4 linked regions of the Pelodiscus sinensis genome follow. The protein of the gene in region 1 purifies or fractionates together with the protein of each later gene. This does not show direct contact. Links are inferred from orthologs where the notes say so. Each region holds a gene or a part of one and is shown in the gene's direction. Other genes may lie near its edges.

Region 1 (7,494 bases):
GCAAAGACCCACTTCGTCAGATGCATGTCAGATGAAGTGGGTCTTTGCCCACGAAAGCTTATGCTCCTACACTTCAGTTAGTCTATAAGGTGCCACAGGACTCCTCGTCGCTTTTGCAGATTCAGACTAACACGGCTACCCCTCTGATATAAATATGTGGTATTTTCTAAATAGGATGTAATGTAGATTGTGCTATAATGTCAAGTGTGTCTAGTATTTTTGTTGAAACCATCTGGCAACCCTATCGAGGGGCAATAACAAAACCCAACATAAATTCTATCTTAATAGCTTTTATGCAGAAGAGGAGACTTTTCATTTCTAAAATGCACATTGATACCTCAGTTTGAGGCATGGGGCTTTAGAAATACAAATCAGGTTTTGAGTAGATAAAGCCATATGTATCAAATAGAAAACATGAGCATGATTCAGGAAAGTGCTGAGTACTTTTCCCTTTATCCAGCAAAATATTTAGGCACATGAATAGTCTCATTAAAATCAGTGGGATTACTCATATGTCCACGAAAGCTCATGATACCATCTACATGTTTTGTTAGTCTTTAAGGTGCTATTAGACTATTTGTTGTTTGTTAAGTTTTTCCTGTTACAGACTTACTCGGCTACCCCTCTGAAGCGTTTAAAGCTAAGAACATGGTTAAATCTTTTATGATCAGGATGAGAGTCCTCAGCACTCTTGCTAGGCAGCAAAAAATTTACCAATACAAAAGGTTTTAGAAATCACTTTAGGTGTCTCCTATTGGCAGTTGGTTTGTGCTAAGACTTTTGTGTTAGCTTATAATGAAGGTTTCAGATAGGCAGAGAATTGTGATTTCCCCTGCACATAAAAAAAATCCTATAAGAATGTAGACATGAGCAGCTACCAGGAAGTTCCTCATATAAACATTTCTGTCTACATGGCTATTAGGCTGCAAATAATCATGGGAAGACTCAATTGACACCAATTTCCCAAAATATTCCTTCCCCCTGTGAGAGGGAGGGCAAACCCCAAAGGAAAACCTGATTGCCTGTACACATGTCTAATAAACCTCCTTGTTAAGATCAGCTTGTGGAGGAACATTGTCTAGAGTCAAAGATGAGATTTTAGATGTGTAAAGAGGTCTGGCAAATTATTACTTTGTTTTGTATCTAAGATAATAGATAAATGTTGTTTCAGTAGCTATCGGGGTAGAGAGCAAGATGTTTAGAACAAAGTGGAGAAACACTGAAGTGTTAGGAGGAAAGGTTCCTCCTATGTATGAGAGGTTCATTCTGAAGAACTGTTCTAGAATGAAACAATTAGAACATACACACATCTTAGCACATCTGTCTGGTTTGTCAAAGTAATTTAAAAACAGAATCAAAATGGAGTTTAAATATTTTTCAGATTAATCAGTTCTTATTACTGTAGCACCAACCACAGCATTTTTTGTTGTAAAACAGCTGCTTCTCTGCTCTGCAGCAGCCACATGTGTTCTTTATTGCTGCTGTTCAATATGATACCTAGAAAAAACCCCATATATTTCACTTTATCTACATAAAAGGCGGGGAAAGTTGCAACTTCATTTCCAAGTTAAAAGACTTGTGGGCATGCTGTTTTTCTGTTTTGTTAAAATTGCCTGGCTTAGTGGAAAAAGTTACCCATAGCAAAAGAAGCTTGTAAGCACTTCAGATACAGAAATATGCATGTAAGGTGTTTTGTAGCTTCACAGTATTATACATGATTTTTAGGACTAATAATGCTTGACTCATTGACTATTTGTACATTTACACTACTTTTTAAAAAACTGGATTGAAGCTGAGATGTTGCTACTGGTCAAACCCCAAACAAAATACACCCTCAAATAGCTATCTATGCAAACTAGGCATATAGATAATCTATGCAAAATATGTTTGTATTAAAGCCATTATATTCTGTCCCCCTCAATTTGTTTCACCCTATTGCAGCTTTTCCCTAGCCTATACATTGACTGGAAAAAGAACTGTCTTTTACTGTAACCCTGTAGAGTGAGACAATAAGCTGTCATGTTGACTAGTATTGTCTCTGTTTTCTTGTCCTCCTGCTTCTGTCTGCAGAGCTGTGCCATTCATAGGACGAATTGGGGTGGCCACCTGGGTTCCAGGCTTTTGGGGGCCCTGCAGTGGCCGCTCCAACCATCCTATAGATGGGAAAGACCTGGGATATACAGGGGCTTGGCATGGGGTGACAGCAGGGCTTGCCTGCACTCACCACACAGCAGCAGGAGCCAGAGTACCCCTACAACCTGCTCCACCCTGCTATGCCACCCTCCTGGCCCGCTGCACTCTGCTTCCTGCTGCTGCGGAGAAGTGGGACACAGCAGGCTGGGAGGGTGGCATGGCAGGGCAGAGCAAGCTACTGGGACATTCTAGCTCCCACCACCCATGTGGTGGTGGTGGTGGTGGGGCAACCCCTACTACTGCCGCACCAAGCTCCCCAGGCCACATTGCTCGGAGGAGAAAATAAGGGGGAAAGGAGGTGGAGAAGGGACAGGGCTTAGGGAACGGATAGAAAGGGGGCAGGGTCTGTGATGGGAGGTTGCCCTAGGCTTCACATCTTATGACTAGAGCACTTGGTGGAGGGGGGATAACATCAGGCCCTGCACCCCCCTTGGGAAGGCCCTGTCTTTGGTCTCTTGTCTTGTATGTCTACACTAAGGCTGTGTCTAGACTGCATCCCTTTTCCGTAAAAGGGATGCAAATTAGACATATCGCAATTGCAAATGAAGTGGGGATTTAAATCCCCCCCGCTTCATTAGCATAAAAATGGCTGCCGCTTTTTTCCAGCTCGGAGCTTTGCCGAAATAAAGCACCAGTCTAGACGCGGATCTTTCAGAAAATAAAGCCTTTTCCGAAAGATCCCTCTTAAAATGAGGGATAAGGGATCTTTTGGAAAAGGCTTTATTTTCTGAAAGATCTGCATCCAGACTGGTGCTTTTTTCCGGCAAAGCTCCGAGCCGGAAAAAAGCGGCAGCTATTTTTACGCTAATGAAGCAGGAGGGATTTAAATCCCCGCTTCATTTGCAATTGTGATATGTCTAATTTGCATTCCTTTTACGGAAAAGGGATGCAGTCTAGACACAGCCTAAAAGTATTACAGTGGCACAGCTGAAGGTACACCACTGTAGTATTGTGGGATAGACACTTGCTACAGCGATGGGGATTTTCCATCACAGCACTGCATCAGTTCCTCTTAGAGATGGTAGCTAGGTTGACAGAAGTCTTCCATTGACCTATAGGTACCAGGTCAAATTAACTATGTCCCTCAGGGGTGTGAATTTTTCACACCTAAGCACGTAGACCAGGCCTTAGTCTCTGCCCCAAAGAGCTTACAGCCTATCTTTTTGGTTCTTTATTTGTATAGCATCTAGCACAATGGGGTCCTAGTCTGTAACTGAGATACCTGGAGTATTTCTACACAGGCTGTAGCAGTGAGTCTCCCAAGCGGGGGTCAACAGACTTGGGCATATGCTACCATGTCTAAAAGAGCCATATAGACATTTTGGTTTGGGCTCTGAAGCCTCCTCTTTGGGCTTCAGAGCCGGAGCTGCCACTCCAACATATATACAGCTACTTTTAATATGCTTACATCAGCAGTGGAACCCTAAGTCTGTGAACTGGGATTGGGGGGCTCGCTGCTGTGGGCTATGTAGATGTACCTGATGGCATGAAGTATAAATAAATAATAATATATAGTGTCTAGTACAATAAGCCTGATTGGTCTTTTATGTGTAACTGTAATACTATCAGCTTGCTGAGGCCCAGCTGACACACAGCTTACAAACAAATTACACATCAAAAGACTGAAGTCAAGAGGAAACTTGATGTGATAGTAGATTCATTTCCTAGAGGTCCAGGTTTCTGAAATTACTGTTCCAAGACTGAATGGAGGATACCTACTTTCATAGAAAAAGCAAAAACAAACAAAAAACACCTCATCTGAGAGTAAAATATTTGCATTGGGAAATATTTGGCAATGGGAAGAGTTGCTTAAAAATGCATTCACTTTTGCATTGGTGGTCTCTTTTTGTAGGAGGGTAAATATGTCAGCTGTGTCAAATGAATCTACCAATAGTCCCTGCAGTACATTAAGGGCTGAAGCAAAAATTATGTTAACACTCCCCCCCCTTAAAAACCGAAAATTTTAAGTGACTAGGGCGATTGTACAAACTGCCTAAGATGCAAAGCACCCAAAGAAAATACTGAGGCTTACGGCAAATGAGTGAGGAGAGTTGGGGCAAATCTAAATAGTCAGGATCAAATTCTGCCATTAAATCGGTGTCAATCCGCAGTAACTCCGGCTTTGCACCTCACGTGCCGCCTCTCTGATTCCAATCCTCTGCCCTCGCCCAGCCGAGCAGCGTGCGCCGGGGCACAGGGAGCGTTTGGGGAAGCGAGACGGGCGGAGAGCGGGACGAACAAAGAGGCGAGGGGGCAGAGGAGAGCCGCGAGCGGGGAGGGGCCGGGCCGCTGCCCTGGTGCTACATTAGCTCCTGCCCGGCCGGCGCGGCGCGGTTGTGCCGAGCAGCCCGGCGGCCGGAGGGGGCGGTGGCTTTGTGACTGGGAGTAGCTGCGGCCCAGCAGCGGCGGCGGCGGCTCCGGGCCGGAGAGACGCGCGGCGGGAGCCCCGCGCCAGCAGCACCATGGCCACCAAGGTGAGGGGCCCGGCTCGCTTCGGGCCGCGGGGGGGTGGGGCGAGCGGCGTGGGGCGCCCCCTCTCGAGGGCGAGTCCCAGGGGCCCTACGGGCGAGGGGGGGGCTGGTGCTTCTCTGCGCCCGGCCCTGGCGCCTGTGGGGCGGGGGGCGGCCCCAGGGCGCTGTGGGGGTGCAACCCCCCGAGGGCGGCTCGGGGCAGGGGGAGGGGGGCAGGTCCCGGGGTGGCCTCCCCCCCCCAACCCCCCCGGCGTGTAACCGCCAGGGCCGGGCGCTCCAGGAGACACCCACCCGGGGGGCGTGTGACCGCGCCTGGCGTGGGCCCTGGACCCGCTCCCGGGCCTGCCAGGCGGGAAGAGGCGTTTCCAGCGTCGCAAAGTTTTAACAGAGAAAACTTTTTCTCCGCCCGCTCTTGGCGGCCTGTCACCTGAGCCCGCAGGCGGCGGTAGGGTCCCGCTGCCCCACAGCGAGCGTCTGGCCCGGGCCCCGTGTAACCCACAGAGCGGACGGGACCCCTTCCTGAGGTGCTAACCGCAGCTGCACCTCGTTTAAACACCCCTCTCTGCGCCGAATAAACCACAGCCGCCTAACCTGAAGACTAATACTAGCTGGAAGAGCTGAACCGTGTCTCGCTGTTTATGATGTGGGTGTGTGCATTTTATCCTGTCTGGATAGATTGGTCAGTTTCATTGCGGTGTCTTGTTTGGGGTCTCCTGTTGTGGCCAGTAGTGGCATAGTTTAGGTGGGAATATTTGGGGGAGTGTTTTTAAATTCAAGCACATTTTTCATTGACCTTTCAAAGAAGTGGCGTGGACACCTTTCTCTTCACACTCGGTATTGTAAAACAAAGAAATAAATCTTTGGGGGCCGAAGAACGCCCCACGTATCTCTTTAATTTCACAGTTGTGAAAGGGAAAAAAAAACATGCAAACAAACTTGGGCCTTTACTTTTGAGAGTTGCTGAGTGCCTGCAGCTCCTGTTGACATATGTGGTAGTTGTGACTGTTCAGAGTCCTTGGAAAAAGTCCTCGTGGAACCAATCTCTAGAGATCTGAATGTCATTCAACTTTGCATTCTGTCCTGTATTTTTCTATACTTCCCATTCAGTCAGGAAGGAAAATGACTGTGGTCTTAAGGCCTGGTCTACACCTGAGACCTAGGTTAACCAGCTAAGTTACTCAAGGGTTTTCAAATCCCAAGACCCACAATTAAGGTGACCTAAGCCTTGATTTAGACACCTCCCAGTAGACAGAAGGAACACTGCAGCAGTGCTGTTGCAGCATTTTAAGTGTAAACATAGCTTTAGTATGTGATACAATGACTTGTGTTACAAAAACATCAAACACAAGACTTAGTTGCTCAATGGAACTATGATTCTGTGTATTTGCTTGGCAGCATTGCTTGTTTTTTGTGTATAGTGTAATAGGGTTTATACACCTGATAATGTCCAAATATCGAGGGTATCTTTTCAAGTGAGTTTGATTGCAGTAGGATAAATTCATTTATTCTCTTCTAATGGCTATGGTTGCCAACTTTCCTGATCGGACGAACCGGATGCCATTTGTGGAAATGTTGTCTGGTACGGGAGACTAGGAAACCCTGTAGTGGTGCATTTGTGTGTGTGTTCCACTTTATAAAACAAGAATACCACTAATAAATCGGCCACTTGTAATCTCTAATTGCTCTTATAAAAACTGATATATAAAAAAAGTATCTTCTGAATAATTTTCTGTTTTTTGTAGATTATGTAAAATACTGTTTTCCTTCTGCCATGTTATTTTGTAGCATGTGAATTAGCAATATTTGGAGTTATGTCTGAGTTTTAGTTGTGTATATGGTTTCTAAAATGTATGATGAGATTAGTTTTTGCTGTTTCTGAATATTATTAGAAAATGAATGTAGTAATTGAGCTTTGCATTTCTGGAACCAGTCTAAGTTTCCAACAGTATTTATTTGCTATATTAGTATTTTTTTATTTTAACTTTTTAAAGTTCAAAAGTACCTTTAAAGAAAACAAGTGTTCTACTTATTGTGCCATGTCACAGTATTGGAAACAATGTTTTTGGGACACAGCTGGGTTGCATAAACTAGTTCTGCAACTTAGAAAGTTCATTTGTGTTAGTAGTAGACCATGTTCCTATAAAATAGTGATAATATGATTCTTAATACGTCACAGATTTGTATATTGTACATATCCAATTTAGTGTATTAATAATATTTTATAGTCACAGTACTCTTTAGATAAGAAGCCTAAATCACAAATCAAATAGGTGTTTTTGAAACTTTTATCCTTACACCTAAAATTGGGTTTGATATGTATCAGAGGTTTAGAATGTTGATGGACTGGGCTCAGTGTTAATATTTTTGGTATAGACTAACTTGCGTTAAGTGTGTATATGTGTGCCCATGGACACAAAGGGCACTTCATGTGGTCATTTGTGGGAAAACTGCATTGCTTCTGGCAAATATGTACTTCTGCAATTGGGGTAATCAGTTCAAATCGTGTTCATTTCAATGTGGAATAGGTCCTGCACTGTATTTAAAGAAGGCTATGAAGAGCCATTGTTACTTTTTTCTGGTACAGAATTAACTTAATTGTATAAATGTAGAGAGTTGTGCTCTCGTTTTTTTTTTTTAAATAGCTCCCTGATTTAAACTTCTTCAGAAACAGAAGACCGATCATGTTGTCCCTAATTTAACTAATGTTGTGGGCAGAAGAGCAGCAATTATTTTTCATTCTTCTTTTATTAATTTTTAGGCACAATTTTTGTATTGCTTTTTTATTTTAACTTTCAGTATTTACAAATTGAAAAGTGGGCTTTTTTGTTTT
Region 2 (7,889 bases), on another chromosome or scaffold:
GCATTTAAAATAAATGTCTGTTGCCCCCGGCCGAGGTGGAATTGAGGAATCCGGGCCCTGCGTGAGGAGGGGGAGGGGACCTGGCCGGCATGAGGGGTGGGCCAAGGGGGCCAAAGCTGCTAGGCTGGGAAAAGGCGGGAAGGCCTACTTACCACAGGGGGCTGCCTGGGCCTGTCTGACCCCCCCATCTGCCTCCAGGCTCTGGGTCTACCTGACTCACCGTGTGCAGCCTTGTCACTCGCCCTGCCTGCCCTTAGTACTCAGCACCCCCTGTTCCACCCCAGCTCCCCCTGTTTTGGGGCCCTAGATGAGTGGGTGGGAGCAGAGGAAAAGCTGAGGTACTCTGGCGCGCACGCCTCTGTGAGGGCAGTAGAACTGGGTCCTGTGTGGTGCTGTTCATTGCCGCTGTACAAAAGCATCTGGGGAAGGTCTGAGGTCTTTAAAAATGCTCCCAGCCAGCACCGGCCTGCCCTCCGGAAGCCTTGAGGTAGTGCTGTGTTCTCTAGGGGCTGGGCCCATCGCCTTTCTCAAGCTAGAAAGCTCAGCTGCCTGGTCTGCAAGAGAGACTTTCAACTCCTCCCTTGCCCCCGCCTGAAACGTGCCGGTCCTGCACTGCTGGTCCCTCGTGAAGTCCCACGAGCCGCCCTGAGGGCTTGTTGGCGGGGCCTGAGCAGCTGTAGAAATCCGCCCCGTTCAGGGCTCTATTACTCCGGGATGGAGGCGTAGTGTCTCCTGTTCAGACCAGTGCCCCAGCACGGTGCTGGTCTGGGTGATTGTCTGAACCCAGCTGTTCGGTCTGGGCCTTAGAAACGTATATGGACCGGCACCAGAGCTGTTGTAAATCTGTCCTGCCCCCGCCATGGGTGGAGCTGCCCCGGGGGGCCTGGGCCCCTGCGACCAGTGGAGCCAGGTCGTTGGGGCAGCTGAGGAGCGGGGGGCATGGCAGCTGTCAGCCCACATTCCAGTCCTCTGACTCTAAGACCACCAGGGGCCAAAATGAGCCCCAGTATAACACAGAGCCCCCTGCGCTGACTCTGAGTGCCGCAGGAAGGGGGGCGGCTGGTCCGGCTCCCAGACATGGACACGTCCTGGCTCTAGTGCATTTCCCGGCTTGGCTTGTGGATGTGCACACACCCTTCCCCCTTCCCCCGGTTGAACTCCCCACGTGTGGGAAGGGTGGGCTTACACGCTGCCATTGCCTCGTTGACTCCAGGCTTCCACCTCCATGCTGCCCAGGTGCAGCGGGTGCAGTCTGGAGCCTGACTGGTGCCTCGGGGGCTGGGCTGTGGGCAGCAGCAGAGGGAAGTTCTTTGTACACATCGGCCCCCGAGGGACTCCTCTAGGCAGTCCTGGGCTGCGACGACTCATTGACTGTGCACAAGCCTCTGCCGCTCAGAGGAACACCAAGGGCGGCCACGCAGCTGGGCTGGCGGTGGGCACGCGCCGGGGGCTTTCCCATGTGGCCGCTTCCGGCTCCTAGAGGAATGCTGGCTCTGGGCTCTCCGGCATGGAGCAGTTCAGGCTTCCTTAAAGATCCCTCATTAAATAGGAGCAGGGGTTGGCCCTGCAGTCCTGCTACCCCAGCCAGGTGGGGATAGAAAACCACCTTCCTCGGAAGTCTGTTGCATCCACTGGAGCTGGCATGTCTGTGGCCGCCTTGTTCTCCTGGGGGTCTTTCCGAGCTGTTGCCTGGTGTTGAGTTGAATCTTTTTCTGAGTTGAATTGTAGGTTCCTGTCCCTGCATCACTGTCCTTTTCGGTCATGCTCTTTCTATCATTGCTCCCCTTGCTTGGACTTACGATGAGGTCACATTAGCATAGGGCTGCATTACGCTCTCATATTGGATTGCGGCTGCTCTTGGGGAGGGGTGTGATAGTCCAATTGACCCTGCAGGCGGGGGTCCGAGTGCTGCAGGCTTTCCCCCCTCATGTTTGGGAGTGGGCCGAGCTCCCAAAATTGTATGTAGCGGTCTGTGTGCGTAAGGCGGTACTGCTGGCCCCTTCGGCCTGGTCTCCTGTGCAAAACCTGGCGCTCAGCCTGGGTCCATCCCGCTTTGGGGCGCAGGAGTTTTGCAGGACTTCTCCCATGAGATGAGTGTTTCCCACCTGTCTGATTCCCACCTTCCTCCCTTCACACACTGGCTGCCCAGCGCTCGCCCCTGCCAAGTGCCGGGGGCAGCTGAATGCCAACAGCTGCACACCGCAGCTGCCGGATGGAAGCGAGAGCCTGGCACGTTTCCCTGCGGATGCCACTTGCCACTTTCCCAGCCTGCTGCTTTCACACAAGCGATGCGCTGGGCCGGCAGGAGCCCAGCACGGTCCTAGGGGGGCCTCCCCCATTCCCCCAGTTCAGGGCCGGGGAGGGGGATGGTCTCAGGGGAGAGGCTGCTGCTGGCCCTGATCCCCCTCGCTACGGGGCGTAACGCCTGTGCCCCTCTGTGCCAGCTGCGCCCCCCCGGCTGGGTGTACAGCGCCCTGCACCCCTCCCGGCCCGGGCCCCCGCTGACCCCCGGGCTGGGTGTGCAGCGCCCTGCGCCCCTCCCGGCCCGGGCCCCCGCTGACCCCCGGGGCTGGGTGTACAGCGCCCTGCGCCCCTCCCTGCCCGGGCCCCCGCTGACCCCGGGGGCTGGGTGTACAGCCCCCTGCGCCCCTCCCTGCCCGGGCCCCCGCTGACCCCCGGGCTGGGTGTACAGCGCCCTGCGCCCCTCCCTGCCCGGGCCCCCGCTGACCCCCGGGCTGGGTGTACAGCGCCCTGCGCCCCTCCCTGCCCGGGCCCCCGCTGACCCCCGGGCTGGGTGTACAGCGCCCTGCGCCCCTCCCTGCCCGGGCCCCCGCTGACCCCCGGGCTGGGTGTGCAGCGCCCTGCGCCCCTCCCTGCCCGGGCCCCCGCTGACCCCCGGGCTGGGTGTGCAGCCCCCTGCGCCCCTCCCTGCCCGGGCCCCCGCTGACCCCCGGGGCTGGGTGTACAGCCCCCTGCGCCCCTCCCTGCCCGGGTCCCCGCTGACCCCCGGGGCTGGGTGTACAGCCCCCTGCGCCCCTCCCTGCCCGGGCCCCCGCTGACCCCCGGGGCTGGGTGTACAGCCCCCTACGCCCCTCCCTGCCCGGGCCCCCGCTGACCCCCGGGGCTGGGTGTACAGCGCCCTGCGCCCCTCCCTGCCCGGGCCCCCGCTGACCCCCGGGCTGGGTGTACAGCCCCCTGCGCCCCTCCCTGCCCGGGCCCCCGCTGACCCCCGGGGCTGGGTGTACAGCGCCCTGCACCCCTCCCTGCCCGGGCCCCCGCTGACCCCCGGGGCTGGGTGTACAGCGCCCTGCGCCCCTCCCTGCCCGGGCCCCCGCTGACCCCCGGGGCTGGGTGTCCAGCGCCCTGCGCCCCTCCCTGCCCGGGACCCCCGCTGACCCCCGGGCTGGGTGTCCAGCGCCCTGCGCCCCTCCCTGCCCGGGCCCCCGCTGACCCCCGGGCTGGGTGTCCAGCCCCCTGCGCCCCTCCCTGCCCGGGCCCCCGCTGACCCCCGGGGCTGGGTGTCCAGCCCCCTGCGCCCCTCCCTGCCCGGGCCCCCCGCTGACCCCCGGGGCTGGGTGTCCAGCGCCCTGCGCCCCTCCCTGCCCGGGCCCCCGCTGACCCCCGGGGCTGGGTGTCCAGCGCCCTGCGCCCCTCCCTGCCCGGGCCCCCGCTGACCCCCGGGCTGGGTGTACAGCCCCCTGCGCCCCTCCCTGCCCGGGCCCCCGCTGACCCCCGGGGCTGGGTGTACAGCCCCCTGCGCCCCTCCCTGCCCGGGCCCCCCGCTGACCCCCGGGCTGGGTGTACAGCGCCCTGCGCCCCTCCCTGCCCGGGCCCCCGCTGACCCCCGGGCTGGGTGTACAGCCCCCTGCGCCCCTCCCTGCCCGGGCCCCCGCTGACCCCCGGGCTGGGTGTACAGCGCCCTGCACCCCTCCCTGCCCGGGCCCCCGCTGACCCCCCGGGCTGGGTGTACAGCGCCCTGCGCCCCTCCCTGCCCGGGCCCCCCGCTGACCCCCGGGCTGGGTGTACAGCCCCCTGCGCCCCTCCCTGCCCGGGCCCCCGCTGACCCCCGGGCTGGGTGTACAGCCCCCTGCGCCCCTCCCTGCCCGGGCCCCCGCTGACCCCCGGGCTGGGTGTACAGCGCCCTGCGCCCCTCCCTGCCCGGGCCCCCGCTGACCCCCGGGCTGGGTGTCCAGCGCCCTGCGCCCCTCCCTGCCCGGGCCCCCGCTGACCCCCGGGCTGGGTGTACAGCCCCCTGCGCCCCTCCCTGCCCGGGCCCCCGCTGACCCCCGGGCTGGGTGTCCAGCGCCCTGCGCCCCTCCCTGCCCGGGCCCCCGCTGACCCCCGGGCTGGGTGTACAGCGCCCTGCGCCCCTCCCTGCCCGGGCCCCCGCTGACCCCCGGGGCTGGGTGTACAGCCCCCTGCGCCCCTCCCTGCCCGGGCCCCCGCTGACCCCCGGGCTGGGTGTACAGCGCCCTGCGCCCCTCCCTGCCCGGGCCCCCGCTGACCCCCGGGCTGGGTGTACAGCCCCCTGCGCCCCTCCCTGCCCGGGCCCCCCGCTGACCCCCGGGCTGGGTGTACAGCCCCCTGCGCCCCTCCCTGCCCGGGCCCCCGCTGACCCCCGGGCTGGGTGTACAGCGCCCTGCGCCCCTCCCTGCCCGGGCCCCCGCTGACCCCCGGGCTGGGTGTCCAGCGCCCTGCGCCCCCGGGGGGCTCCTGGCTGGGGTTCCCCGCAGCACCCCACTGTCCCCAGGCGGAGCCCCGCGGGCACTGGCTCCCCAGCCAGCGTGCGGGGGCGGGGCCCGGCGGCACAGGGGGGCGGGGCCCGGCGGCACGAGGGGCGGGGCCCGGCGGCACAAGGGGCGGGACCCGGCGGCACGAGGGGCGGGGCCCGGCGGCGGCAGTGCGCAGGCGCGGCCGGCCGGTCCCTGTCACGGCGGGATGGAGGGGCTCATCGGGCTGGTGAACCGGCTGCAGGACGCCTTCGCCGCGCTGGGCCAGAGCTGCCTGCTGGGGCTGCCGCAGATCGCCGTGGTGGGCGGGCAGAGCGCCGGCAAGAGCTCCGTGCTGGAGACCTGCGTCTCCCGGTGAGCCCCGCCCCCGGGACCCCCTACGGCCCCGCCCCCGCCACCTGCCCCCCAGCGCCCCCCAAGCGGTGCCCTCTGTCACCCGCGGAACCTGCGCAGGATCTGCCCCCCCGCGGCCACTAGCCCCCCCACCGACCGCGCCTCTGCCCCCGCCAGCCTCTAGCCTCCCCCACCCCTCCCTGACACCCCCCCCGCCAGCCTCTAGCCTCCCCCCCTCCCTGACACCCCCCCCAACCTTCCCCCCACCCTCCCTGACACCCCCCAAACCTTCCCCCCACCCTCCCTGACACCCCCCCCGCCAGCCTCTAGCCTCCCCCACCCTCCCTGACACCCCCCCCGCCAGCCTCTAGCCTCCCCCACCCTCCCTGACACCCCCCCCAACCTTCCCCCCACCCTCCCTGACACCCCCCCCGCCAGCCTCTAGCCTCCCCCACCCTCCCTGACACCCCCCCCAACCTTCCCCCCACCCTCCCTGACACCCCCCACCCTCCCTGACACCCCCCCCGCCAGCCTCTAGCCTCCCCCACCCTCCCTGACACCCCCCCCGCCAGCCTCTAGCCTCCCCCACCCTCCCTGACACCCCCCCCGCCAGCCTCTAGCCTCCCCCACCCTCCCTGACACCCCCCCAACCTTCCCCCCACCCTCCCTGACACCCCCCCCGCCAGCCTCTAGCCTCCCCCACCCTCCCTGACACCCCCCCCAACCTTCCCCCCACCCTCCCTGACACCCCCCCAAACCTTCCCCCCACCCTCCCTGACACCCCCCCAACCTTCCCCCCACCCTCCCTGACACCCCCCCCGCCAGCCTCTAGCCTCCCCCCCCTCCCTGACACCCCCCCCGCCAGCCTCTAGCCTCCCCCACCCTCCCTGACACCCCCCCAAACCTTCCCCCCACCCTCCCTGACACCCCCCCCAACCTTCCCCCCACCCTCCCTGACACCCCCCCGCCAGCCTTCCCTCGGCTCCTCTTGGGTCCCCTCAGACCTCTAGTCTCCCTCATCCCCTCCCTGACACCCCCCCGCCAGCCTTCCCTCGGCTCCTCTTGGGTCCCCTCAGACCTCTAGTCTCCCTCATCCGCTCCCTGACACCCCCCCGCCAGCCTTCCCTCGGCTCCTCTTGGGTCCCCTCAGACCTCTAGCCTCCCCCATCCCCTCCCTGACACCCCCCCGCCAGCCTTCCCTCAGCCGCTCTTGGGTCCCCTCAGACCTCTAGTCTCCCCCATCCCCTCCCTGACACCCCCCCGCCAGCCTTCCCTCGGCTCCTCTTGGGTCCCCTCAGACCTCTAGTCTCCCCCATCCCCTCCCTGACACCCCCCCCCCCCGCCAGCCTTCCCTCGGCTCCTCTTGGGTCCCCTCAGACCTCTAGTCTCCCTCATCCGCTCCCTGACACCCCCCCGCCAGCCTTCCCTCGGCTCCTCTTGGGTCCCCTCAGACCTCTAGTCTCCCTCATCCGCTCCCTGACACCCCCCGCCAGCCTTCCCTCGGCTCCTCTTGGGTCCCCTCAGACCTCTAGTCTCCCCCATCCCCTCCCTGACACCCCCCGCCAGCCTTCCCTCGGCTCCTCTTGGGTCCCCTCAGACCTCTAGTCTCCCCCATCCCCTCCCTGACACCCCCCCGCCAGCCTTCCCTCGGCTCCTCTTGGGTCCCCTCAGACCTCTAGTCTCCCCCATCCCCTCCCTGACACCCCCCCGCCAGCCTTCCCTCGGCTCCTCTTGGGTCCCCTCAGACCTCTAGTCTCCCCCATCCCCTCCCTGACACCCCTCCCCCCCCGCCAGCCTTCCCTCGGCTCCTCTTGGGTCCCCTCAGACCTCTAGTCTCCCTCATCCGCTCCCTGACACCCCCCGCCAGCCTTCCCTCGGCTCCTCTTGGGTCCCCTCAGACCTCTAGTCTCCCTCATCCGCTCCCTGACACCCCCCCGCCAGCCTTCCCTCGGCTCCTCTTGGGTCCCCTCAGACCTCTAGTCTCCCCCATCCCCTCCCTGACACCCCTCCCCCCCCGCCAGCCTTCCCTCGGCTCCTCTTGGGTCCCCTCAGACCTCTAGTCTCCCTCATCCGCTCCCTGACACCCCCCGCCAGCCTTCCCTCGGCTCCTCTTGGGTCCCCTCAGACCTCTAGTCTCCCTCATCCGCTCCCTGACACCCCCCGCCAGCCTTCCCTCGGCTCCTCTTGGGTCCCCTCAGACCTCTAGCCTCCCCCATCCCCTCCCTGACACCCCCCCGCCAGCCTTCCCTCGGCTCCTCTTGGGTCCCCTCAGACCTCTAGTCTCCCTCATCCGCTCCCTGACACCCCCCGCCAGCCTTCCCTCGGCTCCTCTTGGGTCCCCTCAGACCTCTAGTCTCCCCCATCCCCTCCCTGACACCCCCCGCCAGCCTTCCCTCGGCTCCTCTTGGGTCCCCTCAGACCTCTAGTCTCCCTCATCCGCTCCCTGACACCCCCCCCCCCCGCCAGCCTTCCCTCGGCTCCTCTTGGGTCCCCTCAGACCTCTAGTCTCCCTCATCCGCTCCCTGACACCCCCCGCCAGCCTTCCCTCGGCTCCTCTTGGGTCCCCTCAGACCTCTAGTCTCCCTCATCCGCTCCCTGACACCCCCCCGCCAGCCTTCCCTCGGCTCCTCTTGGGTCCCCTCAGACCTCTAGTCTCCCTCATCCCCTCCCTGACACCCCCCCGCCAGCCTTCCCTCGGCTCCTCTTGGGTCCCCTCAGACCTCTAGTCTCCCCCATCCCCTCCCTGACACCCCCCCGCCAGCCTTCCCTCGGCTCCTCTTGGGTCCCCTCAGACCTCTAGTCTCCCTCATCCCCTCCCTGACACCC
Region 3 (7,362 bases), on another chromosome or scaffold:
TTTTCTACCTCTGCTTCTAACTCTCCTATCCTTCCTTTTAGCATATTGCACTTTCTAACCAGCTGTTCATAATCAACAATTAAACACATGCCAGCCAATTTGTCCTTTGATAAATATTGTGGTTTATGCACAAAATCAGTATTGCCCACTTGTAATGGGGGTTGGTCATCCTTCTTTCTTTCAGTCACACAGCCAAGATATCTCAACAAGAAAACTAAGAAACTTACTGCTACAATAGTGATAAAAGCACTAATTAAACACTCTTCATATTGTGGATCACTAAATCCCTTCATCTTTCCCTTTTTTTTAAACCTAAATATCCTCCAATCTCAAAATCTTTAAATACAATACTGTTTACAAACTAATAATTTCCAATTAGGAGATCTGGGCCAGCCAACACATTAACTAGAGGTACTTATGGCTATACCTGCCCCTACATTAACTGTTGGTCCTTATGGCCTCTTTGATTTCCCACTTCAACAACACTTAGTCAGAGGAACTTACAGCTTAACCTGCCCCCACACTAAGTACAGTGTCTTAAGACTGCAACCAAAATGTTACAAAACTGCAACAAACCCCTTAAATTCTCCAACACCCAGTTTCACTTACTACAAAAGGTGTGAGAGTCACCAGTCAGGTCAGGGACACACAACCAAATGAAAAATGAACAAAATCACCCTCTAACTTGATTGTAGGTCTTGATCCTGAAGGATATTTCTCACCCTGCTCGCTGCGCCAAGAAACTGTTGGGATTTTGCGGTTCCCAGAGACTCAGGTGCTGGGCAGAATCAAGGGTCTTCAATTCAATTCAATTCAATTCAATTCGATTCAATTCAATTCAATACTTTATTCAATGTGCACAAAGGGAGAGCCCCTGGTACTAAAATCAGCCAGAGCCCCTCGAGCAAGGAGCCCCTCCCCTTGCTGTTTTATAGCACATGGTTACAGGTTACATAACACAAACTTCTTAACCAATCAGATTCAACCTTTCCATATATGGCTTTGTTTGTCACATGCCTGCACCTCTCCACTCCACATGCCGAGCTCACCCCCCCCCCCCCTTAGCCTCCCCCAGGCTGTTGCTAGGGTGGTGAGCCACAGCATGCCTCTCCATGCATACCCTTCAGTACATATATAAGAAACAATTTCCTGCTAGGCAACAGAATGACATCACACTCCCCCGCTCTCTGAACGTCATCAAGTTCTCATGCAGAAGTGGACAGAGAGGGGGGTGAGTGAATATAGTGAACACGGGAGCAGCTCACTAGTGAACACTTTAAAGAATAAAAATGCAGGCTTTCAGTTGACTGTTTCACTGATTACATTTCTGTACTATATTCATAATGGACAAAAATGATTTGCTCCCCTCCCCCATCTGAGACCCCTGACCCCCCCAAGCCCTGTCACTCACCACCTCCACAGAGACCTTGCACCAGTGACCCCCTCACTCAATTCCCTGCTGAGCAGCAGGAAAAGCCTCCTTGAAGTGCATCCTTATACTGCTGTTCACACAGCGGGGAGCCTCAGGGTTTTCTCTCCTTCCACTTCCCTCTCAGGAAGCCAGTGCTGATGCTTCAACCTCATGGGGGTGGGGGAAACAGGGCGGTGAGAGAGTTTGTCAAGCTGCACTTGTGCTTTGCCCAGGGAGCCCAGAGTACAGAGCAGCTGCTCCAAAGAGCTGAGAAAATAACTGGGATGCAGTGTAACCAAGCTGTCCCCAAAGGTCTGGGGGTGCAGTATGGCCAAGACCAGCTTGTGGCAGGCTGAGGGAGTGCACCTGGGCCTGGGCCACCGGCGCATGCCAGAGACACTTTCTTGGGGAGACCTGTGGTATGGCATTCCCCTGGCTCCTTTGCTGCATTTTCAACAGGGGCCACACCTGGCCGGGTCCTTCCTCCGTACCCAGCATGAGTTGCCATGCCCTCGGCCTCACCTGCCAAAGCAGCTCCTTGGACCAAGGAACAGGTCACCCAAAAGGCTGCTGCCAGAGCAGAGCAGGCAGGACCTTTGGCAGGTCTACAACCTATCTTGGAAAATGATCCCTCGCTCTGAGACCTTGGGGGAAAGGCCTATCTCACTCACAGAGAACCTCCCAAACAAATTCTTTCCGGTAACCGTGCTACACAGCTATATCATAAGCATCCAGGAATTCAGCTGTGCAATCAACCCTGGTGCCAACTCTGCCCACATATCTATACAAGTGAATTCATCACTGGAGCCAACCACATATGCCACCAAATCAGAGGCCTGTTTAACTGTACATCCAGTAATGTTATCTATGCCAGGAAAGCCCCACTGCAATATATACTGGACAAACTGGACAGTCCGTATGGGAAAGAATCAATGGACACAAATCAGATATCAGTAAATGAAACATACAGAAACCTGTTGGTGAACACTTCAATCTGCCTGGTCACTCATTAAGAGATCTTCAAGTTGCTGTTTTGTTACAGACCAATTCCAGAAGCCAAATACACAGGGAAGGGTTGGAACTACAATTAATTCACTTCACAAGTTTAATTCTCATGCCAATGGTCTGAATTGAGATACCGGATGGCTGGGATATTATCAACCAAACAAACAATGAAGGTTCCAATGGTGCTTTGTCTGTGTAGAATCTGGTGTTAGTACTCTTCCTTTCTAATTGCTAACTAATGGCTCTTATCTCCTTTTAACTATCCAGTCTTTAGGTACTCACAGACTCTCAGTTTTGCCTGTTACATACTAGCTTGGCTTTCCCTTTGATATTTATCCAGTGCCTCTTTCCCCTCCCCTTCCCTATTTATCTTTGGTTCTGGACATCCAACACTCCCGTCATCTGAAGAAGTGGGCCCATGAAAGCTCATGATACCATCTACATGTTTTGTTAGTCTTTAAAGTGCTATCAGACAATTGGTTGTTTTTAAGTTTATACTGTACAGACTAATTCGGCTACCCCTCTGAAGCTGCTTACAAATGTGTGCTTAGGTCTTTGCTGGATTCAGGTCTGGTAAAGGCCCTGTGAAATCCAATGAGACACTTCCCATTTTTATTCTTATTTGATGATGTATTTCCATAGGAGAGATGCCTCAGCCAAGATTGTATACCATTTATCTCACTAGAGGTCCAAACACATGAGATGTAAACATGGTCCCTGAGCTCAAGAGTTCACAAATAAGGGACCCTGAGCCTGCACACACTTAAGCACACACCATTGAGCTTAACTACATGTAAAGATACTAATGTAAATATTTGCAGGAGCAGGGCTTGAGACCAGTGATAAATGATTGGAAGAGGACACAACAGACTTGTATTTATGCCTATAATTTTTAAAATAAAGTGGATGACAACTTTCCCTAACTGCATATCTCACCACTGATTGACCCTGAGAAAGGCAGGTCTTAAAGGATATTGTAAACCTGCTTGGGGACTGATTAAAAGCCCCCATAAATCAGTGTTTCTCTTGATTTCAGCATTCTTTGAATCAGGCCCTGCAAGGGAGTGTATGACAAATTTTCACCCCCCATAAGTAAGCTTAAAATTATGGCATGAAATCCGTGACTTCCAGGGACCTCTGTGACAATTTCCTCTTCAGCCCCTGTATGGTGAGGTTGGAGCTCTCGCCCCAGGGGTCACCTGTAGTTCCCAACTAGCATGTGCTGTGGTGGGGGACCCCTTGTAACTGCAACAGCAGTGAGTGCAGTATACCCCTCATTCCCCATTTTGTCACAATCTCAAGGAAAGGTCACACGAACTTTCATACATTTTTATTTATTGTCCATATGTTGTACATGACTTTTACTAAGAATAACTGTGACAAAGTGTTGGCAAACGCAATCTTCGGTAACCATAAGTGACTAAAACACCACGAGATCTTTACAAATAAAGTTGGGGTGCTTCCTCTTTGCCTTCTAGGCTCAAAGAGTATAGGGTACAGCTGTTTCATTAGAGTTGCCAAAGTAGGCTGTAGATATTCCTGGAGGTGACATGAAGAAAGTTTTTTTTTTTTTTTAAATTCCTGGAGGACTGACAACCAGAGTTACCCTGCAAGCTTTTCTTAGAAACCGCAGGGGCTAGAAAACTTTTTGGAGGAAAGCAAATTCTCCTCAGAGCCTGAGACGTTAAAACTGAGGAGAGCTTGTCAACACTGCAGGAGGCTCCCCTTGGTCAGGGGGTTTCCCGGGCCCTGCAGCCCTGACCTCCCTGGGGCGCGTTCCTGGCACGGTTACTTACACCCCCCCCCCCCCTCCCCGCGCAGCTCCCGCCAGGCGCGCGCCGAGTGTTAAGAAGCTTCCCCTCCGCGCAGAGTTGGGGGCTCGTGAGCCACGTATCTATGTGACAGCCCCATGTCACTGCCTCGCGCGCCGCTCAGCTGTTCCCACCTTCCGCCCCCTTTCCCCCCCCCCCAACTTCCGGCCCCGGGCGGCGCAATGCGGAAGAGATGGTCGGGCCAGAGCGGAAGTGAGGCAGCCGCTGTAGCCGGCAGCAGCAGGAGGCGCCCCTGGAGGTGGCGGCGGCCAAGCCGGTAGGGGCCGGGCGGTGCTGACCGGGGCCTGCGCGGGGCGGGGGCGCTGCGGCGCGGGGCGGGGGGGAGGCTGCGCGGCGCAGCCCAGGTGCCACCGTCCCCGCGCGGGGCTGAGGGAAGCGGCTTCGCAGCGGCACAAGATGGAGGCCCCTTGAGTCTCAGTGACACCCACACGGCCCGTCTGTCTGGTGCGGGAGTGCTCGGGTCCGTCCGTCCCTGGGGCGGGGCAGGGCTGCCCTGTCTCCCGGGTCTCGGGCTGGGCTGGCTCTGCCGTGGGGGAGGCTCTAGGTCCCTCCCTGCCCCGTGGCGCGAGCAGATCTCCGCACGCAGCCCGCGGGCATTCTCCCCGGGAGCCCCGGCCCGGGATGACCTCGCTCGTGTCCCGCCCCCGCCGCTCCTCTGCGGCGCCTCTGCCCCCCTCGAACAGGAATAAGCCGAGCCTGGGCTTCTGCCGCTGCTCCATCAGAGCATTTGGCAGAGCGCTCTGTGCCCGCCGGCCTCCTGGGATGAGACAGGTAAATATCGGACCTCAAGGGAACTGAGAAATGGAGAGGCTCTGGGGATACTGCTAGGATAGAGGGTAACTATTCTGATTTTAAAAGGCCCTACCCTTGCTACTAATAACATCTTAGACTGGCTAAAATCAGTGATCTCAGAATCACTGGGTTAATTTAAATAATTAAAAACTACAAAAACAAAAGGGAAAATATGCAAAAGGCAAAAAAAATTGCTCTGTTTTAGCAATCTCACCTTCCAATTTCTAGTCAATTTCTCTAGCCCGGTGTTGTAATAGATAATGCAGGGAAGGGTTTGAATCCAAACCAAACGCAACAACAAAACTCCCAGATCCATTAAAACCACCAAGGTACCAAAACATTTCTATCACTATTAGGCTTTGTAAAAATAAACAGGTTCGGAGCTTAAACTCTCTGACAGTGGCCCTTTGGTCATACTCACTAATTGAGTAAAAAATGGAACCTGTCTTAACTCCCAGTCACCTACTTTCATCATTAGGTTGTTATCACTCTTTGTGCTCACTGTTTAAGTCAATAACTCCCTCTCATCAAAGAAATAATAAGCTGTTAAAACAAATGGATTTGTTAATGAATTTGCAAGTAAGCTCTTCTTAAAGTTGCTTATTTTCTAAAAAACAACTCATGATAATGCTTATCTATAAATATCCCTTGAGTCTGTTTTTCTGAGTAAACTGAACTTAAATCATTCAGCCCTTCTATAAATTCTGTCTTCCTCATGGCCTTTCATGTCTTCACTCTTCTTGTCTCCTCCCCTATTAAATACTCTTAAAATAACTGAGTCAGGGTGGAAGTTGGTGCTACTTTGCAGTGAGAACCCTGGAGGTAGAGGAAGTTTTCACTGGCATGGTCTTGTATTGCACAGGTCTGCCTCTGGTAAAGGAAAAATGGCTTTCAGCAAAGGATATCGTGTCTATCACAAATTGGATCCACCTCCATTCAGTGTGATAGTGGAAACCAGAAATAAGGAAGAGTGCCTCATGTTTGAGTCTGGAGTTGTGGCTGTCCTCTGTAAGTCAATATGTTAAGTAGAATGTGAAAAGTTGATAAATGCATTTCCATGTCAAACATATTTTCATTTTTAATACATTCACAGATTATGAAAATGACTTATTATATCCCTTAATCTGTCATTTCTCAGTTCTTACAGTAACTGTTCAGTCTGTTCTATTATGATAGTTTTCATTTCTTAACCTCAGTTTTGTATGTATTATTGCTTTGTCTTGCTATTTTCTATATTATAGAAAGTAGCAAGACAAAGCAATAATCTATAATAACGTCCATTTCCATTCCCAAGGTCTGTTAAAAATAAAAAACATGCATATATGCAGTCCATCTTATATTACTAATAAGAACAAAATTTTTGAAGAAAGGTATTTTTACATAGCAGTCATTTTTATAAAGATTCAGTAAAGTCTATATAAAATGATCAGTGTAACTTGACATGAAAATATTCACAGATGGTTTTTAGAATCATTTCATCTCTCACGCTTGTTTGGAATCTGCAGAGCAACATTTGGTAGAAGCTGTTGTAGGTCTCTAAGCCATTTCAATGCCTTTTCTGTGGTGGTGTGAATATCATCCAATTCACTTTTGAATCTATGTTTGGGGCACTGAATTATGATGTATTCAATAGTTTGGATGTTATCAATACTTTTGCATGAAGGTGAGTCTTTGATTTTTTCCACTTGTGCATCAAGCAGTTGTATCTTCTGTGGTTTGTTCAGATTAGGGATGTTAGGAAGTGTGTAATTTGGTAATCGTGTAGTTGACAAAAATTGTGAGTCGGTATGGAGCCAGACTGACCATGCTCTGGCTCCCAAAATAAATGTGGGGTGTTGCTTGTAACCAGTAGCGTTAACTGAGTAGCATTTACTTATTGTCTAGCCAGATACACTTCTACATCTCTACTTCCCTAGTTCAGATGCAGTTCAACGTGCTCAAAAGTCTGTGTGCACGTTATCCGGTCAGTAATACTATGCTTGTTTGAAATAGTACGTGGGGTCCAGATGCTTTGCTGTTCCCAGTCAGGATCCAGAGACATGAGGTGGCCACAAGTTTTTCATGATTCCAGGCATTGTTGGGGTATGTTGTTCATAACCTGCAGGATGGGAAGTTCTGGATATTTTTTGGTGAATTTAAGTTCTGATGCTGCCCTAAATCTCAGTGGATAACTACTGGAGAGTCAGATAACTACTGGAGAAATAGAAAGCCATGAGAGGAGGTGTTGATTTTAGAGTTCCTATGGTGATTCACATGGTCTGATGTAGCTGCCTGTTCACCAGTTCAGTATGGAAGCTTCTTGTCTACTATGCCAGGGCTAAA
Region 4 (7,364 bases), on another chromosome or scaffold:
CTCCAAGGTCGAATTTATAAACAGAGCGTACACACTCCCAAGCTTGTTATTTTGAAATAACAGGCTGCAGAATTTGAAATCTCTACTCCTGCTTTTCACCAGGAATAACGTTAATTCTGAAATAGTTATTTTGAAATAACAGTAGTGTGGACGCTCCAATGTCACCATTTCAAAATAATTACTCCCCAGAGTAATTCAAACTAATTACTCCCCAGTACTTCCTGGGGCTCTAAGTCTAAGGTACTGTGTCCACATTAACGGACCCTGGTTTGGACTAATTTCAAGGTTTCCCCATAGTATGGACACACTAGTTTGAATTTGTTAAATCAGGAGTTATTAAGTCGCATTTACTAATTTCAAAATAGATTCCTAGTGTAGACACCGTCTTTTTAAATAACTCAGAGCATCTGATCAAAGTGTTGTAGCACTGACTAAGCACTTGAAAAAGTGTATATATTCTCCTATATTGATAAACACCTAGCCTGTTCCCCCAATCCTTCCTCAGGGTTTATATTCTTGTCTATTTATAGACGTCTCTTGTATACACACAGGCTCAAGAACATGAACCACCTGGTGTAGGGTTACTTTATAACCTGATTGCCTGAAGTTCTGAACATTCACATCCAGTTGAAGTCAGTGGGAGCTGTGGGTGCTTAACACCTCTGAAAATCAGCTGTTTATTAGCAGGAGCCAAATTGTAATAGTGTCTCCTCTTTGTATTTGGTTTGGTCTGGTCAGGGCCAGATTAACCCATCATTGGGCAGTCGGCAAACATACACTTATGGGCCTCTGACTTCTAGTCTAGTGGTTTTCAAACTACTGTTCATGACCCAGTACTGGGTCAGGCACTGGGTCTCCTTGCTGCAGGGGGATCAGGTGACCAGTGGAAGTGCTAAGGCTGGCTACCAGCCTGTCCTGGCACCACAGAAGTGGCCAGCAGCAGGCTTGGCTCCTACGTGGTGGTGGGGAAAGCGCACAGGACTCTGCACACTGCCCCTGCCCCGAGCATTAGCTCCGCACTCCTCTTGACTGGGAACCTGCTGCTGGTTGTTTCTGGGGTGCAGCATGGTCTGTAGTGCCAGCGCAGGCAGGAAGCTGCCTTAGCACCCCTGCTGCACCGCTGACTGAAAGCAACTCAAAGTAAGCCCCTCCTGCCACAGCCCTGTCACCGTCCCCCCTCAAAGCTGGAGCCCCCTCCTATATCCCAAAGCTCTCATCCTCAGCCCCATTCCACAGCCCACACTCTAGTCAAATTATGTCAGGTTGGAGGCAGGGGGGAAAGTAACTTACATTTCTTACAGGTACTGTCCTAACACAACCCAAGGGAGGGGGCTTATAGCAAAAGTTGTGATACAACTATACCTGTAAGAAATTTAAGTGTGCAGTGGAGCACCGGGGCGGGGGGGGGGGGGCGCTCAGGGCAGAAGGTTGGGGTGGGCAGAGGTGCAAGAGATAGGGAAGGAGGCTGGAGATGTGGGGGGTGCTGGAGACAGGGTTGGAGTGATGAGGGGCTTGGAGCAGGGGTTTTGGATGTATGAGGGGCTCAAGGCACAGGGTTGGAGTGTGTGTGTGGGGTGCAGGAGTGTTATGGCAGGGGCTGGAGTGTATGAGGGGCTCAGGGCAGGAGTTTAGGGTATGTAGGGGTACAGGAGTTAGGGCAAGGGGCTGGAGATGTGGGGCTGCAGGAATCAGAGCTGGAATGCATGAGGAGATCAGAGCAGGGGGTTCAGGTGTATGAGGGACTCAGGGCACAACATTTGGAGTGTATGGGGGGTGCAGGAGTGTTAGGTCACGGCAGGACAGGGGGTTGCCACCAGCCCTTCCTGCAGCCAGATGGGAGCTGGACCACTAAGCCTGCCTCAGGATGGGGGCCAGAGACAGGCTGTTGCAGCCAGATGGGGGCTGAGCCCTGATTGGGGCCTTGTTGGCCAGGCGGCCAGGGCAGGAACTAGGGATGTAAAAATTTAGTCGATTAACAGATAAGCAAAAGCTTATAGGTTAATGCTGTAAGCTACACGCATTGTGCCCCCCGCCCCCCCACTTGCCAGTAAATTATTTAGCAGACTGGCCAGCAGCCCGGCTCAGTCCTGGCTTGTGATGGGTCCGGGACCTACCCCCGCTGCAACTTTGCATTTAAAGTGTATTAGGAGCTGGGTAGGCAGGCAGCCCAGCTCAGTTCCGGCTCACGCCAAGTTCAGAAGCTCAGACCACTCCCTAGACAGGGGCTGCTGCCACCCCACACTGCTGCCTCTTTATCAGAGGCAGCAGCACAGGACAACAGGTAGCTGGTCCACAAGGGGAGCTAGTTTTTAAACTGGCTTCTCTCATGGACCAGCTCCCAGCTGTCACCCCACGCTGCTCTCTCTGATACAGTGGCAGTAGCACAGAGTGGCAGGGGTCTTCTCGGGAGTGAGGCTGGAGAGTACTGGCTGCTAGCCTTGCCCCCAGGGACTATACAACAGTGGACTAACTGATAAGAATTCATGAGGTTACTCAACTATTCAATTCACCAATATTTAACATCCCTAGTAGGAACCTGAACTCGGCCACAGGGGCTGAGCTCCTGCAGCAGTCGCTGGGCTGCCAGAGCTAAGCTGTGAGGTCTGCCCCAGGAGCACAATGGCTGGGGACAGACTACAGAGGTTAGATGGAGGTTGGAGCCCCCACCACTAGCCCCTCTCACTAACCCAGTTGAGAGTACGCACACATCCCTTACAGCGCGCCTTCAGTTGGTCCCTCTACATGAGCTGAGTGCCCCAGCCGGCTCTTGCCAGAGTGCAGTCAGTGCTTACTGCAGTGGTGCACCGAGGCATACTTCCTTACACTCTGGTTGCAGGCTCAAGTGATTTTCTTCAACTGAGCCATGAGAAAAAAAGTTTGAAAACCACTGTTCTAATTTGAATAACTACAAACAGCTGACATACACACCATCATTGGTCAGTCTACAGTATAAGAGCTCTTCCTGAAATAAGGCAGAGTATAAAGAACTCACATCAGGCCTGTGGTATCTTCCAAAGTTGTGTGTAGCTTGAGAGCCAAAGGTTATCGGTAATTTAAATTCTAATTTTATGAAACATAAATATGAAAGTAAGATAGCTGAGTGAGAACTCACGAGAAATCCTGTTGTTGCATCTCTGGCTCTTCTCCATCCCTCTGGTTATATATTAGTCAGATTTTTAAGACATGAATGTCAGTTGTTGCCACAGTGCACTTTCAGCGTTCTTTTGCAAGCCTTTTCTAAGGGAAACACAAATGTGTTAATTTAATTTCATATCTCCCGTGGAACAGAATGATCAAAGTGATGATTTCTGGAACACAGACTCACTCAGAAGGAAATGCCTCTTTTTATAATGTTAAACTGACAGATGAGGATAAAATCCAATATTCAAATAGTTTGATGGTGCTACTCCTTGCAAAAAATGTTAATAGCGGCCATCAAATACATTCAATTTTATGTACATTTTAGAATTGCTGATTACAGCAAACCTCTTATCAAGATTGTGGGGGTGGGGCGGACTTGGACTGCAAACAACATGACCAGAGTGAAATTACTTACCTGTAAGGAATATTTTTGTTTTTCCAACAACACTTTCAGTTTAATTATGGCTGTAAATGTTATTTTTGTAAAAACATTATTTTGCAAACTGAGCCAATTAGTTCCTCTTTATTGTCTCAGACTGTTAAAAGAAACAGTGGAAACACATATGATTAAACATTTCCTTGCATTTTTTGTAAATCAAACAGCAACAATGTCTAGGGCATTATAACCAGAAATTGAAACGGACTGGGAACAAAACAGCAGAAATTAAACTGCAGAAACAATTAAAAGTAAATTAAAAGTAAAATTAAAAAAACCCCTTCTACTTTAATTATTAGTAAGCTAGGTACGTCCATTTACAAGAACAGAGATTATTTACAAAGATGTAATTTAAAAACCATTTAGCTATTAATTGCAGTTTCTCTTGAATATTGAAAGCACAGATTTGTGTGTGTATGGGGGGGAGTCTGTTGTTTGGGAGGAGTGAAATATTTCTGGCTTTTTCATTACAAATATATCAATAAATATTCAGATCCTCCAGGTTTCACATTTTGGAGGATTGATTTGAATACCAATTTTGAACCCCTTTTACGATGGAGGATTTTTGCCGTGTTTCCATCAGACCCCGGCAGACTCCCTTGTTCTTAATGTCCCTGTATAGGAACAGATCCCAGGCTATTGAAGGCGGATACTCTCAAGACGCCTGGCTCCCAGCGTAGCTCCCTTCTCAACACCTTTACGTTTACCTATACGAACTACAACTCCCATGAAGCTCTCGGAGCACAGTAGGGCACGTAACACCCCCTAGCGGTCGCTGATGCTACGTGCGCTTTAAATCCCGTGAGGAGCCGGGTGGCTAGCGGTGCTTGAGCTGGCAGTCGGGGTGGCAGCCCTGCTGCAGAGACCAGGGACCTAGGTTAGGCGGAGTGAAGGGGAAACAAACGCACCGCCCAGCTGAGGGCTGGGGACAACCCCTGATGAGGACTTGGGGGGCCAAAGCCCAGCAGTAAATCCTTTGCCAGGGAAGCGGGCGGAGAGAGGCGTCTGCATTGCAAGCCCAGCAGCGAGAGCCCAGCAGAGCTGCAGACATGGGGAATCGAGGGATGGAAGACCTCATCCCCCTGGTCAACAGGCTCCAGGATGCCTTCGCGGCTATCGGTCAGAATGCAGACCTGGACCTGCCCCAGATAGCCGTGGTGGGCGGACAGAGCGCCGGGAAGAGCTCAGTGCTGGAAAATTTTGTGGGCAGGTAAGATTTTTAAAATGCAGCCGATTATAGGGGAGGTTATGGGAGCAATGCATTGCTCAACGGACATGCCATGCAATGCTTAATGCAGTGCAATACAGGACAGAGGAGGGGGGCCGATCTTGCCCTCTTCAACTTGAGGTTCTTGGGAGAACCGTCATCCTAGCCCCTGCTACACACACACACACACACTGCACCCTACAATGCAGATATCAGGCGTCTCTGTGAACAGTGACATTCCCTGGATTGTCACCTTCACTAGCAAGAGAGCCCTCTTCCCCTCAGCATAGAAGTGCATGTGTGTGTTTGTATAAATGTCTGCTTTGAAATGGTAATATCTAATTGGGAATTGATCAATGGCGGGCAGCATATTGCTTGGTGGGCTGGGAGGGGTGAGGTGGAGAGTGAGTGTGAAAGAGGTTGAGGGAAGAATGCAGCATCAGGCAAATCCTGCTTTTGGAGTGACTAATGCACAGAAGAAGCCATTTGTTTGGGGGTGGAGAGGGAGTAGGAAGGAACAGAGCTGATGTGCTGCCCACATCCCAGGGGATTTAATGGTTTTAATCCTAAATCGTTTATTTATTTATTTTTGGGAGCTACATACAAGAAGGCAGAATCCTGGGGATGAGCAAGAAGCCAGGATGGTGGAATTCTCCCCCCCCCCCATCCCCCCCCCCGCTGTTGGAGGACAATTGCTGTGGGCACTGGCAGGGTGGGGAGGAAGGCACTGCTTCAAGGGGAAAACGAATAACATAAATGGCTGCATATAAAAAAATCATGGAAATCCAGTAAAGCACAGACTAGTGCTCCATATGTTATGTAATGTCACGGACAGAAATGTCAGGGGGAAAATAGCCACACTCTTGTGTGTCCTTTATTTTTATCACGTCAAAGACCTGCGAGCCAGAACCAAAAATGATACAGGTTCCACATCTTTTTTGGCAATGTATTATCTAAGGTGATTTAAAAAAATACTAATCAGTGAATATTGTGTGTGCAGATAAATAATTGTATAAAAACCTGTTAATACCAAGATGCCCTTTAGCCATGGTGATCTGAGGACTAGCTCCATCAAGACTAGATTTCTTGTTTGCTTTAAGTTTCACCCTGAAGAATCCCACAAGAAAATGCTAGGAAGATTGGATTCACATAGCATGTCCTCAGCTCCTGATTATACCTGGCTAGATATAGGACATGCCTTGAACCACACGCAGCTACCTAAAGATGGATGTGCTTGTTGTGAGGCTGTGCAGCAGTGGACTTTAAGTTCAATTTCATTTTCCCCCACCCCTTTCTCTGTCCTCCATAGTGGCTGCCATGTCAGGAGCTGGGGGGAGAAGCAGAAAAAGCAATGGTTATTCCCCTACGTGTTCAACTCCCTGGGTGCTACCATTTTGTGACCGTGATATTCTGGTGCTTTCCCTTCATGTGACCTTCACATTAATCACCAGCAGTTTCAACAAATACCAGATGATCAGGGAAGGTGGTCTGCACACACATAGTATACACAACACCTGGAGTGTATCCTGAGCTTGTTTGTAGCTTGCTTAAGCTATTGTGGCCCTGGCTTGCTATAATCCTTCCCTATTAGGCACTGCTATCCTTTATGACCAAGATACAGGTTAGTGCTGATTTCCCTGGGAGGAATTACTTTCTTCCACCAACTGCATTCTCCCTCTTCTTCCCCTGCTTTATTGCATGGGCACTCTCCTTCTCTTTCGCCCCTACTAGCCCCTGCACTATGACATCTGCTATTTTATAGCTCTATTATCATTGAAAGAGTCTGTCATGAGCCCAAATAGCTCCAGTTTTTGTGGTATTTGAACAGAGTAAGTCCAGTATGCTGTACAGGGGCTCAGGTGACCCTGAGCAATGAGACTCAGTATGGCATTAGGAAGATGCCACTGCTGCTGTTTTTGAGGAACAAGAAAACATAGCAGGAATCAGAGTTGTTTAAATAAAATCTCCCATTGTCACATACTCAAAAGAGCCTGAGATTCTTCTCTGCTGATTTTCAATGGTCTATTTCAGAGATTCCATTCTGAATTAGTGTACCTGGGAATCAGGATGTGGGAAGGCTGTCCAGAAGCCTCCGCTATAATTATGGTTTATTTGTATTACCACAATACTTAGGAGCTCCCATCGTGGAGCAGGACCCCATAGTGGTAAGTGCTGCACAAATACCAGAACAAAAAGATAGTTTCTGCCCTCAAAAGCTTACAACCCACTGTGATCAAACCTGCTGGGAAGAGAAAAAGGGTTCCCAGAACTGTTACTGAGCAAAACCTTGGTTAGCCCGTTGAGTTTGTTGCTGTCATGGTCCCCCCAAATCTATCTTTTGTGGAAGTTCTATATGGTGACTACAGCAAGGATGTACCAAGTGTGTTCATTGAGCAAGAGCTGTTTCAGAGCAAATAGCTCCTTTCTTTTAGATAGAGCAAGCAGAAGGGGACAAATTGTAACTTCACTGATTCCAATGCAGAGCTTGAGCTTAGCGGCTTGACGGAGGGTGAATGAACTGAATTATATTATCCATAATTTGCCAGTGACCTTTGTCTCAGTAGGGCTCATGACCTCACT

What was found.
Region 2: the proteins of SNX9 (region 1) and DNM3 purify together in Homo sapiens (co-immunoprecipitation; 3 studies listed by BioGRID and IntAct, counting the BioPlex papers as one, with this or other methods). This does not show direct contact. The link is inferred for Pelodiscus sinensis from reciprocal best matches to the Homo sapiens genes SNX9 and DNM3.
Region 3: the proteins of SNX9 (region 1) and SYNJ1 purify together in Homo sapiens (co-immunoprecipitation; 3 studies listed by BioGRID and IntAct, counting the BioPlex papers as one, with this or other methods). This does not show direct contact. The link is inferred for Pelodiscus sinensis from reciprocal best matches to the Homo sapiens genes SNX9 and SYNJ1.
Region 4: the proteins of SNX9 (region 1) and DNM1 purify together in Homo sapiens (co-immunoprecipitation; 6 studies listed by BioGRID and IntAct, counting the BioPlex papers as one, with this or other methods). This does not show direct contact. The link is inferred for Pelodiscus sinensis from reciprocal best matches to the Homo sapiens genes SNX9 and DNM1.

What each region holds. Positions count from the first base shown.
Region 1 is NC_134713.1:112,089,940-112,097,433, forward strand, and holds the start of SNX9 (sorting nexin-9), read left to right. Parts: upstream 1-4,487; 5' UTR 4,488-4,655; coding exon 4,656-4,667; intron 4,668-5,287; exon of another isoform or gene 5,288-5,302; coding exon of another isoform or gene 5,303-5,311; intron 5,312-7,494. UniProt on the Homo sapiens protein: Involved in endocytosis and intracellular vesicle trafficking, both during interphase and at the end of mitosis. Required for efficient progress through mitosis and cytokinesis. Required for normal formation of the cleavage furrow at the end of mitosis.
Region 2 is NC_134719.1:64,104,211-64,112,099, forward strand, and holds the start of DNM3 (dynamin-3), read left to right. Parts: upstream 1-4,889; 5' UTR 4,890-4,938; coding exon 4,939-5,084; intron 5,085-7,889. UniProt on the Homo sapiens protein: Microtubule-associated force-producing protein involved in producing microtubule bundles and able to bind and hydrolyze GTP. Most probably involved in vesicular trafficking processes, in particular endocytosis.
Region 3 is NC_134711.1:182,895,602-182,902,963, reverse strand, and holds the start of SYNJ1 (synaptojanin-1), read left to right. Parts: upstream 1-4,358; 5' UTR 4,359-4,409; coding exon 4,410-4,504; intron 4,505-4,554; exon of another isoform or gene 4,555-5,019; intron 5,020-5,902; coding exon 5,903-6,048; intron 6,049-7,362. UniProt on the Homo sapiens protein: Phosphatase that acts on various phosphoinositides, including phosphatidylinositol 4-phosphate, phosphatidylinositol (4,5)-bisphosphate and phosphatidylinositol (3,4,5)-trisphosphate. Has a role in clathrin-mediated endocytosis.
Region 4 is NC_134732.1:11,330,154-11,337,517, reverse strand, and holds the start of DNM1 (dynamin-1), read left to right. Parts: upstream 1-4,360; 5' UTR 4,361-4,626; coding exon 4,627-4,787; intron 4,788-7,364. UniProt on the Homo sapiens protein: Catalyzes the hydrolysis of GTP and utilizes this energy to mediate vesicle scission and participates in many forms of endocytosis, such as clathrin-mediated endocytosis or synaptic vesicle endocytosis as well as rapid endocytosis (RE).